Linked DNA regions of Oryctolagus cuniculus. The main gene of each other region encodes a partner of the protein of the gene in region 2 in a complex. Links are inferred from orthologs where the notes say so. Each region holds a gene or a part of one and is shown on either strand. Other genes may lie near its edges. The genes, in order: AKAP10, PDZK1 and SLC15A2.

Evidence for each region.
Region 1: the proteins of PDZK1 (region 2) and AKAP10 are in contact, whole or in part, in a crystal structure (PDB 3TMH), measured with the Homo sapiens proteins. The link is inferred for Oryctolagus cuniculus from reciprocal best matches to the Homo sapiens genes PDZK1 and AKAP10. Residues at the interface, in NP_001188254.1 of Homo sapiens: Asn386, Gly387, Tyr388, Gly389, Phe390, His391, Leu392, Asn393, Ala394, Ile395, Arg396, Phe402, Lys404, Tyr436, Glu437, Val440, Ile443, Gln444; in NP_009133.2 of Homo sapiens: Pro655, Leu656, Glu657, Lys658, Ser659, Thr660, Lys661, Leu662.
Region 3: the proteins of PDZK1 (region 2) and SLC15A2 are in contact, whole or in part, in a crystal structure (PDB 6EZI), measured with the Homo sapiens proteins. The link is inferred for Oryctolagus cuniculus from reciprocal best matches to the Homo sapiens genes PDZK1 and SLC15A2. Residues at the interface, in NP_001188254.1 of Homo sapiens: Asn386, Gly387, Tyr388, Gly389, Phe390, His391, Leu392, Asn393, Ala394, Ile395, Arg396, Gln407, Tyr436, Glu437, Val440, Ile443, Gln444; in NP_066568.3 of Homo sapiens: Glu723, Thr724, Lys725, Lys726, Thr727, Lys728, Leu729.

The regions. Positions count from the first base shown.
Region 1 is NC_091448.1:60,475,088-60,478,595, forward strand, and holds part of AKAP10 (A-kinase anchor protein 10, mitochondrial), read left to right. Parts: intron 1-569; coding exon 570-752; intron 753-3,211; coding exon 3,212-3,508. UniProt on the Homo sapiens protein: Differentially targeted protein that binds to type I and II regulatory subunits of protein kinase A and anchors them to the mitochondria or the plasma membrane.
Region 2 is NC_091438.1:49,176,963-49,181,064, reverse strand, and holds the start of PDZK1 (Na(+)/H(+) exchange regulatory cofactor NHE-RF3), read right to left. Parts: upstream 2,802-4,102; 5' UTR 2,715-2,801; intron 1-2,714. UniProt on the Homo sapiens protein: A scaffold protein that connects plasma membrane proteins and regulatory components, regulating their surface expression in epithelial cells apical domains.
Region 3 is NC_091435.1:78,166,436-78,170,726, reverse strand, and holds the start of SLC15A2 (solute carrier family 15 member 2), read right to left. Parts: upstream 2,805-4,291; 5' UTR 2,665-2,804; coding exon 2,560-2,664; exon of another isoform or gene 2,080-2,559; intron 777-2,079; coding exon 689-776; intron 94-688; coding exon 1-93. UniProt on the Homo sapiens protein: Proton-coupled amino-acid transporter that transports oligopeptides of 2 to 4 amino acids with a preference for dipeptides. Transports neutral and anionic dipeptides with a proton to peptide stoichiometry of 2:1 or 3:1.

The DNA.
Region 1 (3,508 bases), on a different chromosome or scaffold from region 2:
CTTTGATAGTATTGTAATATTGAGTTATCTCCAACACATTGGTAGTTAACTTTATTCTGAAGCCTGAAGGACAATATTACTTCTTCAGACTACAAAAGAAAATATTTATTGTGAGAGTACATTACCTTAAGTGGCTTGAACTTTAACCATTAATGTATTTTGTTAGAATAATTTTATTACTCATTTAAAAAATAATTATTGTGAAAATATTTTTCTAGTCCCACCAAGCCAAGCCTTTATTCTGCATTTTTAGTTTTGCTTCTGAAACAAGCAAGGACCAAGGCATTAGAAGAAGTCTGTTTCAGAACACTTCCTAGCTTTGGTGCTTTCATTCTCAGTAACAATTCTCAAAGTTCTGTTTAATTTTCATTTCTGACACAATATTTTTAGAGTTATAAATAATACTGAAATGTTTCTTAGCTATTTTCTGTTGTGTAAGTTACCTTTTTTTAATTTTTGTTGGGTGTACCAACTTGAAGTATTACAAAATATAGTTTTTAAAGTTCTCTTATAAGAGTTTTGAACCATTAATTGTGTTTAATTTTTAACAATTTTTTGAAAAATTATAGCTTCAATATCCGTACATTCCCCACAAAAAAGCACTAAGAATCATGCCTTGCTGGAGGCTGCAGGACCAAGTCATGTTGCCATCAATGCCATTTCTGCCAACATGGACTCCTTTTCCAGTAGCAGGACAGCAACACTCAAGAAGCAGCCAAGCCACATGGAGGCTGCTCATTTTGGAGATCTGGGTAAGTAACTTTTTGCTAACTTGCTTTTTAAAAAAACAAAATATTTATTCATTTGAAAAGCAGTGTTGCAGTGAGAGGGGGAAAAACAGAGAAAGAGAGATGTCTTCTATCTGCTGGTTTATTCTCCAAAGGGCTGCAGTAGCCAGGGCTGGGCCAGACCAGAGCCAGGAGCTAAGAACTGCATCCAGGTCTCCCATGTGGGTGCAGGGACCCAGGCACTTGGGCCATCTCCTGCTGCTTTCCCAGACACATTAGCAGGAAGCCAGTTCTGAAATGCGGTAGCCAGGACTCAGACCAGCACTCCGATGTGAGATGCAGGCATCACAAGTGGCAGCTTAACCTTGTCCCTCAAGGCTGCCTGCCACCTGTGTTAATTTCTAATAGGAGGGAGATCTTGAGTACAGTACATGAAACTGCTGTCATAGGAGAGTGAGCTATATAATTGGAAGGGGCTTTGAAAAAATGGGTTTAAACTAAAATCACAGCACCAAGTATAATGGATGGCCCTATGTTCTCCTGTATATACATAAAACATGTCCAGTAGCAAAATGAACAGTTTCTAAATAAATATATTTAACTGTTTAATATAAATATATGAAAATGATATTTCATTTGGCTAGTGTTCAGGGAAATGCAATTTAAAATAATGAGTTACTCCTTGACACATTAACATATTTAAAGTTTGCCAAGGCTTTGCTGTTTCTTCCTAAGTGCTTCTCCAAAAAGATTTTGCCAGTATGTTGTCATCAGTGTGTAGGAGTGTTGCTATTTCCCTTGTTAGTATTTGTTATTAACTAAATTTTTTTCCATGGGGGGGGGCATTTGGTCTAGCAGTTAAGATGCTGGTTATGTTGTCTAGATCCCACATCGGGGTCCCTGGGTTCGATTCCCAGCTCTAGCTCCTGATTCTAGCTTCCTGCTAATGCAGATCCTGGGAGAAAGAGGTGATGGCTCCATTAGTTGGGTTCCCGCCACCTGCATTGAGTTCCTGGCTCCTAGCTTCAACCCCTTGGCTGTTACAGACACTTTTTTTTTTTTTTTTTTTTTTGACAGGCAGAGTTAGTGAGAGAGAGACGAGAAACAGAGAGAAAGGTCTTCTTCCGTTGGTTCACCCACCAAATGGCCGCTATGGCCGGTGTGCTGTGCCGATCCAAGGCCGGGAGCCAGGTGCTTCCTCCTGGTCTCCCATGCAGGTGCAGGGCCCAAGCACCTGCCTTCCCGGGCCACAGCAGAGAGCTGGACTGGAAGAGGGGCAACCGGGACAGAATCCGGTGCCCCAACCAGTACTAGAACCCGGTGTGCCGGCACCGCGGACGGAGGATTAGCCAAGTGAGCCGCGGCGCTGGCCTGTTACAGACACTTTTGAAGAGTAAACCAGCAGATGGGTGTCCTCTCTCCACCTCTCTAATAAATAAATATTTTTCCCTTTCTATAAGCAAAAAATGTCAGCTTTTTTAAATTTGCTTCCCTGGGATTTTTAATGGGGTTGAATATTTTTTCATATTTTTATTGGCCCTTTTTCTTTCTTTGGAACTAGTATCATTTCTTTCTGAAGAATTTACATAATCTGAATGGCCTTAAAAGAGATACTAGGATTAATTGAGTGATAGAACTTTTCAATAATTTAAATAAGTTTTGGACAGTTGTTTCTTTACTTTGTTTAGAAACTAAAACTGATTTTTTTTTAGTTCTTTACTCATTTTAATTGTTAGGAAGTAGACTTTTTTAAGATTTGTTTATTTAGTCATTCACTCACTCATTCATTCATTTGAAAGAGTGACACAACATGGGGAGAGGTGGAGATCTGGTTCACTCCTTAACTCCATTTGGTTCCCACATGTGTGAGAGGAACCCAGGTATGTGGGCCATCTTCCACCGCTTCCCAGGCATATTATCAGGGTGTTGGATTAGAAATGGAGCAGCTGGGACTAGATCTGGTGCTCTGATATTAGATGCCAGCATCACAACTGGTGGCTTAATAATGCCAGCCATTTTTTTCTTCTAATTTTTTTAATTTATATATTTGAAAGGCAGAGTGACAGAGAGAGGGAGACACACACATACACACACACACACTCACTCACTCTGTCTTTGCAGTAGTTCACTCCCTAAATGCCTGCAACAGCTGGGTTTGTGACAAGTGCAAGCCAGGAACCAGGAATTCCATCCAGGTCTCCTACCTGGGTACAGGGGCCCAGGCACTTGGGCCATCTCCCACTGGCTTCCCAGGCCATTACCAGGGAGCTGCACTGGGAGCAGAGCAGCCAGGACTTGAACTGGTGCTCCAAGATGATGCTGGCATCACAAGCAGTGGCTTAACCTGTTGTGCCACAGTGCTGGCCCCAGGAAGTAAATTTTATTCAAGACCTCTGGTACCACTGTTGCTAAAAGTGATAGATTCATCTGTTGCCTAAAATTGTTTGTACTGAACTGCTAATTCCTTTGTTTCTGACTTTTAGGCAGATCTTGTCTGGACTACCAGACTCAGGAGACCAAATCAAGTCTTTCAAAGACCCTTGAACAAGTCTTGCACGATTCTGTTGTCCTCCCATATTTCATTCAGTTCATGGAACTTCGGAGAATGGAGCATCTGGTTAAATTTTGGTTGGAGGCCGAAAGTTTCCACTCAACGACTTGGTCCCGAATAAGAGCACACAGTCTGAACACAGTAAAACAGAGCTCACTGGCTGAGCCTGTCTCTCCATCTAAAAAGCACGAAACTACAGCATCTTTTGTGACTGAGTCTCTTGATAGGA
Region 2 (4,102 bases):
GACCAAGCTCCACGCCTCAAGGTACAGAAGATAATTTCAAGGGTGTTTTTTCTCAGCCCTCTCGGGATCTTAGTCTATTTCTAATGCAAAAATAAAAAAGAGGGGCCGGCACTGTGGCACAACAGGTTGAGCCTCCACCTGCTTGCTATATGGGCGCAGGGTCGAGTCCCAGCTGCTCCATTTCTGATCCAACTCCCTGATAATGTACCTGGGAAAGCAGTGGAAGATGGCCTAAGTGCTTGGGCCCCTGCACCCACATGGGAGACCCAAATGAAGCTCCTGGCTATGGGGGAGTGAACAAGCGGGTGGAAGACCTTGCTGTCTTTCTGTTTCTCTCTGTAACTCTTTCAAATAAATAAAAATAAATCTTAAAAATAATAAAAAGGAGGGGGGATGGAGGAGGAGGGGAGGAACTGGAGGCTGAGGTGGAGGGGAGAGAGGAGGTGAGTCCTCAGTGGGGGTGGGGGAAAGAGAGGCAGGAAGACCCCTGACTGCTAAAACCCGGTCTGTGGTTTTCAAAGACTGGCGGTGACAGTGATGAAGGCCAGCGATGACGGAAGTGGGGAGATGGGGCTTAAAAGACCAAAGAGTAATTTGAGGGCTGAGAGCTCCTTCAGCCTGAGCCCGGAGGCGGAGAGAGGGAAGAAGACTTCTGTTCCGAGGTAAAGAGGCCTGGCGGGGACCCGGGGTCGGAGCCGCGGGGTGGCTTCAGGGAGGTCCCCGGGAAAGCTGCTTCTTGAAGGGGAAAGTTCCCTGCCCTCCGGAGTCCGGGGGGACCAGGGCTGCCTGTGAGGGTGGCCGGTGCCATGTTCTTTGTGGACTCTCTGGCCCATCCTGAGGTTCCTTGAATGGTGAGCGGCTGAGGGAGCGCGTGGAGGAGTCTTCCCACTCCTCCAGGCACTTTGTTCTGCTAGGCGCTGGGGAGGGGCAGGTGAATGTCAAGGGGTCATCTTTTTGTTACTACAGAGGAGATGAAGGAGAAAGAACTCCAGGGGGGAAAGTTACCAAGATTCCAAGATTCAGATCAACCCTCTACCAGATCAACCCTCCAGACCTGGGCTGGGACAGTCCCACCCTCAAGGCTCCGTGGAGCTTGGAGGTGGCCCTGAGGGGGACCTAAGATTGTGTGCCCTGGGGATAGATACAGCAAGGCAGGCTCCCAGCCACTGGAGTGTGTGTAGCAGAGTAAACCCAGACATTCTGGGCTGGGGGAAAAAAAAACGGCTTAGAGATAATTTCCCTCAAGTTCCAAAGACCTCCTCCGAAGAATCAGGAGGCATGGTTGCCTCATTCCCTCTCCCCCACCCCCGCCCTGTGCCACCCGTGGAGCCTGGACCGCAGCAGTTCTTAACTGAGAATGACTCATTCATTCATCCTTAACCATAAATACATTCATTCCTGGGCTCTGTGAGTTTGGGAGGAAAAATACATCTGTATTTTCACCTGTCTCTACGTGAAAGGTAGCAGTTGCTTCTATTATGAATGTAGGCAATAAATCACAGTAGAATTTGCCGTTGATAGAAATCGCAGGTATTTTCCAATCTCATTAGAGTTCATGCCGAGTTCGCCAAGCATCATTCATGCTCATGACTCCTATGAAATTACTGGAGTAACTGGGCCAGCACTGGGTCTTAAGAAGCATGGATCTCCTGGGTCACTCGTGCTTCTAACGTCTTAAGACGATTTGCTTTCTTTGTTATCCTCTGTATTTTATTTCATGAATTTTCAAATGTTATTCTGAGAGGGGGGCTCCACGGACTTCAACAGACCACCAGAGGGACCCCAGCCAAGAAGCCCCACTCTGCTGTGTTGAGAGGGGTCAGGGCAGAAGCTCTGTTTGCTCACAAGCCTGGTTCTACTTGGGTTATGGAGGGTGGCAGGGTGGGAAGTCCCTTCACAGCTGCAAATGAGATGCGGACTCCGGGAGGTGTCCGTGGAACTCAAAGCTGACCCCCGGCTCCTCTGAGAGGCTAGATCCAGGCTTTGGTTCCAGGGGGAATAAGCTGCTTTCTCACTATCTTGTCGCATCAGACAGTCCACACTCTGCACAAAACCTTGGGCAAACCTCTAACTTTTAACCACCTCGGAAGTCCTGCCAGGGAGCTTCAAACACAAGCTGAGCCTGGTAAAGTAACCCGTCCTAGATCACGTGAAGACTCCAGGACCAGTACGCAAAGGGCTGGGGGAGGGGGCAGTGTGCTGTCCTCTGCAATCTCCTGCCCAGCTGCCTCACGGTTCTGAGAGCCCATAGCCCCTTCAACCCCTCTCTCCCTCATCCAAAGCAGTTCAGGGGCCCCAAGGAAGACTCAGGGGTGAGGATGCCAAGTTGATCGGCACCCTCCTTCCCGCTCCAGGCATCGCCACCTTCTAGGACGCAGGGAGCTCAGCAAGTTCCCAGACTCCTTGGCCCCCTCCCCGCCCCACTTCAGAAAGCCAGTTCCCTCTGGCTGCATCCCCGGGACCCACCTTGCTCACACACACCCCCTCCCCGCGCTCCTGGCCGCTGACCCGCGCGGGCGCAGGTGCAAGGTCGCGTCGGCTGCGGCTGGAAGGCAGCGCCCTCTAGCGGTCAGAGTGCAGAAGCCGCGGGGCCCGGCCCGCACTACCGAGGCGTGCTACCGCTGCGGGGCGCCAAGGTCACTTCTTGGAAGCGCACCCTGGCCCCATTGCCCCCGGCTGCCCCCAGCCCCGAAGAAGGGCCCACGACGGCTTACACGCTCCGCTCTCCCTCGGCCTTAGGTACCGCGAGGCCGGGCCACGCCGCTGAGTGTCTCGCCGCATCCGAGCCTGCGAGCCGAGCCGGCTCCCGCGTGCGCTCTTGGAAGCAGTCCCTACCCCGCGTCACCCCCACCCCCATCCCGCTGCACCAAGCCCTCAGGAAGCTCGCCCAGAGAAGGGACATGACCTTCTCAGCGCCTTCCCGGTGCCAAGCCAGTCCTGGAAGCCAAATGCCCCACTCCCCGCCTTGCGTCACCCACCGAATCCCGTTCCCGCACGCCTCATTCAGAATTTCCCCTCTCCTAGTCCTGAGGATTATGCTTCTGACCTGATTGCTGCTACTACAGCTCTCCTGGGTGGCAGCTCTGGGCGAGGACAGACACCAGACTCCAAGATCAAGACTCTCCTAACCTGGCTTAGCATCCTAGCTCCTGCGCGGAGCAAGTGTGATTTTTGTGAAGTCACAAGATCTCTCCTAGCCTCTGTATGCTTAGTACACAGGATAAATTAAATAACAGCTCAGTGCTTTCTAAGAACTAAACACAGTCGTGTATGTGGATGTACCTGGGACCTTGTATATTCCTTTCAATGTGAAGAACCCCTATAAATCATCAGGCTGGGCCGACGCAGTAGGTTAATCTCCGGCCTGTAATGCCTCCATCCCATATGGGCGCCGGTTCGAGTCTCGGCTGCTCCTCTTGGAGCAGTTCTCTGATATGGTCTAGGAAAGCAGTAGAAGATGGTCCTAGTGCTTGGGCCCCTGCACCCTTGTGGGAGACCCAGAAGAAGCTCCTGGTTCCTGGCTTCGGATCTGCCCAGCACCAGCCACTGCAGCCATTTGGGGAGTGAACCAGTGGATGGAAGACCTCTCTCTCTGTCTCTTCCTCTCACTATTTGTAACTCCACCTTTCAAATAATAAATTCTAAATAATAATAATAATAATAATAATCATGGCTAACTTTATTTTGTTTTTGAGCTCTGGCTGTGTGCCACTCTGTTACCTAGGTGACCTCTCGTAACCCCCACAATCATCCCAGGAGGACAACACTATCACCATTTTATAGATCAGCAAACTCGTTTTTGGAGAGGGCACTACATCTGCCCAGGGGTACCTGGTGTCAAGGCTGCTGTTCCGACTCTAGAGACTGTATCTGTCCATGACAGCAGCTGAAGACTGTTCTAGTGATCTCCCTCTGCCCTGCCATGCCTAACCTGCCATGGGTGCTCACAAAGCACTGGCCAAATGTGTCCGCCTATTAAGCGCTGGGCATTGTACCTGGCCCAGGAGCCCGAGAAACTCACCCAGGTCCCATAACTGTTTTTAGGCCCAGCATTTGGACATAAGCAGTCTGGGCCTAGATCAGTGCTTTTTAACCATGACCC
Region 3 (4,291 bases), on a different chromosome or scaffold from region 2:
TGAAATAGCAGAGGCTGCTGAAGGCATGGTAGACAGATGTGGAGGTGTCCTCATTCCAGTGCAGGAAATACAGGAAATACAGGGTAAGCACAGCTACGGTGCAAAAAAAGGAGACAAAACAAGATCAATATGTTACAGTGACATGGAGAAGTATATTCGACCTCTGGTCTTTAAAGTTGCTCCTGGCTTTTGGCACTTCCATCAGTGAAGTAACAAAGGGGTGACTGCCACCAGGCAGTAGCAGCAGGGCCATGAGAGTCGTGGGAGTCGACAGGGTTATACTGACTATACACATAAAATACTCCCCCTTCAGTCTATGTGCACTCATAATGGCATTGAGGACAATTACAAAGACAACATGGTGATTCTGAGATTCTCTTTTTCCTCTTTCCCAAGCGACAATATGATTTTTAGACCTGACAAACAAGTGTCAGGAATGGAATTGTGATGATGAGAGCTTTCCCGCCTAGGTTCTCACAGGCTGTGTCCTGCTTTCTGTCAGGTCTTTCAAATCTTGGCTTGCATGAGCTATTATATAAAATCCTATGAAGCATTTGCTGAAGATTTTGGCTGAAGGAAAGGACCAATTTGGACCAAGGCAGAAAAAGTAGTTAAGGGAAATAAGTGTACACAAGGAGAGCGGGGAGTTAAAAACATGGGGTGAGTAGGACCCTGGACATCAAATTACCTTTCATGCCATAATAGGAAAAACGCTCGCAGAATTCATTCACCACAATGAAGGCAATGCTCAGTGGATAGTTGGAGCCACAGATTTTCTGTGCAACAGAAAGGCAATGGTTCAAGCATGAGCTATTTTTGTCTACTTTAAACACTAGATTGCTCCACAACTGAGATTCATTTATTTAAGTGGCTATAATGGGTGATATGGAGCAATGGTCTCTACCCTTCATGAAACATCTATTATCACATTAAAAGTACTCATATTTCTAATTTAAGAGTAACAGAAACTAATGGGATGCTATCTTGTTCCTTATTTATTTAATATGCTACTGCTCATACATTTCTTGTTCTAGGACCTGCTGATTTCCCACAATTGTTAAATGACTGGGTCTCTGGGCTAAAGAATAATCATATTTATTTCTAGCAACAGAATGAAGAGGTGGCCTATGAAGTGAGTACCTGAAATCCAGATAGTATCCTGCTTAGTGCTACTTTGGGGATTTACCCCTCTTGTCTGCATCTGGTTCATTTGCCCTACTGGGAGAAACCCTGGAATTAGGCTGGTTTCCCCCTCAGAGGCTGCTGGAGCCAGACACAGGGCTCAATATGGAAGGCAGAGATTTCTAAAGGTAAGCTGACTGATTACTTAGACTTTGGTCAAAGTGCTTAGGTCCCCTAAAATTAAATGCCCACTATTCCTACTAAGGATATTCTATAAAATTTTCATGATATTCTTACTGGACATTAAAGGGATTATGTTATATCATGCACTATACCAATCAAGACATAAGAAATGTCATGTTTTATTTCAACCTCTACCTTTATAATAAGTCACATGAGATGCAGGTGGAGATATCTGTTCTTGAAACAGTCAAATCTTATCATAAGATTTATATTGCCTCTTATTTCATAGGAGGTATACACATCTTTGTTAACAGATTTCAATACTTTGGAACCAGAAGTGATATAACTAATTTTAAAAATATTTATAAAAAATTAGCACTTTCATTCTTTTACCCATATATATAGACATTCATTAACAATCCTCCAAATTTATGAAAGTATGTTAATGCACCACAAAGAACTGGGCATCCTATCTTCCCAGCTCAGAGTTGGAGAATCCTGCAACTAAGAGTTTGGTTAATGTACTTCACTATCTGTAACACAGTTGCTGGCTGTGTTAACATACTGACACACTAGCCATATCGCTACATCTGTCTCTATGCCTTAGCTCTGTTACTCCAAAGAAATGAGAATAATACTACCTCTTGGCCTACAGTAAGGATTCAGTAAATCCTGGATATTATTACTATATCCTCTCCAATTACAGGATTTTGGCATGAGGATAAATGAAATAATAAATTTGGAAGTGTTTTAACAAGCATGCAATACAAAACATTACAGCTTCTTTGTCTTACCTCCCACTGTAAACTGGGAACACACAGTAACAGAGATGGGCTCTCATCTAAAACTTCTGTTGGTGTCCAGCAGAAGGCTCTGTACACCGGGGGAACTAAGGGCTGAGTTTTTGTATTGGTAAAGAAGGAACAATCACACACAGTTCTCTAGACAGGAATGCTTGCCAAGTTTCCCTGGACATTCAAATTGCCTTTTTCCCTCCTAGAGAAACTCCAAAAATGCAATGAAATACAGCAGAGCTCTGGATCCCAGTAGAACTCTGACTCCCTCTTCTTGCTGTTTCCTTTTCTAAGTAAAGGAAGCTTCGACTTAGATTTTGTTTGCAGGTGAATTCTGACTCCAAGAGAGAATAGTTCTAATAATCTAGCACAGCTCAGCCTGAAGCTTCAGAGGCCATGGACAGAAGCCAAAAGAAGACAGCTACTGCTGCCAGAGGCCGAACTGAATTTGGAGACTTACCGGAGGTGTCTTCTTTGCCGGGCTGGAGAGTCGAGGTGGTGTCTCTTCAGTGGAGACAGGTGAAAAAAGAGTTTCCTTGGACTCATTTTGCTGGAAGGGATTCATGGCTGGCTTCTTTCTCTCTCCTCAAGCATTTGGCTTCAGTAGGCAGTTAGGACAGCTGCCAGACTACAGTGAAAAGGGGTACTGGGTGTGTGGGGGGGGGGGGGAGAAGGGGTGGTTTCAGCAACTAGGTTTAACCCTGTGGGTGTCAGTTTCAGTAACTGCCTGATTGAGAGCAAAGCAGGAAGCTATAGGAAAAGAAAGGGCTGGTGTTCTAGTTTAAAAGAACGATTGTATAAAAGGTAAACATGGGGAAAGGAAAACACCTTACAAGTCACAAGAGTGATGAGCCAATGCTAGAAAATTGTCAAGGAAATGTACATTTCAGAAAGATTACCTTTGCAAATACCTACAAGATAGCTCAGAAAAGAGTGCCTGAGCACAGATCAAAACACTGATATGAGGGTACCGGTAGCTGCTTTATTGAGCACCTATTATGTGCAAGGTTAATATAAATATATGTGAAGTACATATGTAATATGTATATATAACATAAGTATTTGTTCTATTTCTTACTACTATCCTTGTTTTATAGAAACTAATGTTCGAAGAAATTAAGAAATTTTTCCAATGTAACATTGTCAGTAAGTGATAAATGTGGAATTTTTATTATGCTATGATAGGAAGGGTAGAGATTGCTATCTGTGAAACTTTGGCCATTATTCAGGTATGGAAGCTATGTAAATGGAAGTAGGAATGTAGGTGAATTGAAATGCATTAAAGAGGAAAGGTCATCACAAAATTGAACTTGAGGTAAAAGGAGTTGGTTGTAGTTACTGATATTGTAAAGGTCAGCTAAAAATATCATTTAAGCAATTTAAAAAGTGGGGGTCCAGAAAATGAGAGGAAAAGATTGGTAATGTACATTTGGGAATCATTTTTCTTTGCTAAAGTCAGTTTTCATTTTCTCATTTCAAGATGAAACCCCCTTTCATTAAAGAAATAAAATTTAATTTGTGCAAAAATTATGTTCTAGGTACTGTCTGTAAAAACAGTTATGTTCTAGGTACCAGTGCAAACATTACTTTTCTTAATTCTCAGTGGATGGACTCTCTAACTACTCTAGAATATTATATTTAGACATTATCAGAGAAGAAACGAGAACAAAGATGATGACAATAGATGCATTTTATACCATGCTATTTTTGCTATGTCAAGGAGGGAAAGAACAAGAGCATGGTGTCCCTCTAGTTGTCAGTCAAAAGAAAAGAGAAAACAATGGTTAAGAGTTATGCAAAGGCATAACCACAAGGAAGTCTGGCAATTCCAGAATAAACTGCTTTGAGAATATGAGAGAGAAAACCTATGATTCTATTTCTTGCAAAATAGAATTCTTACATTACCTACTTGAATAATTCATTGACAAATAAGGTCTTTTCCTCCCTAAACTTTAACTCAGACTTTGACCACATCTTCTCCGCTTCTATTACACCCTTCATTTCCTCTCTCTCCCACCAACCTGTACCCAAAGGAGGGTCCAGCTTCATTTCTGAATGTGGTATTAATGAATAACCATAGTTATTCTTTTTGTTAATCACTCTGTATGTAAAACAAATGAGCAGTCAGAAATAACTAGTTAAGGGGCCAGCGCTGTGGTGCAATGGGTTAAAGCCCTGGCTTACAGTGCCGG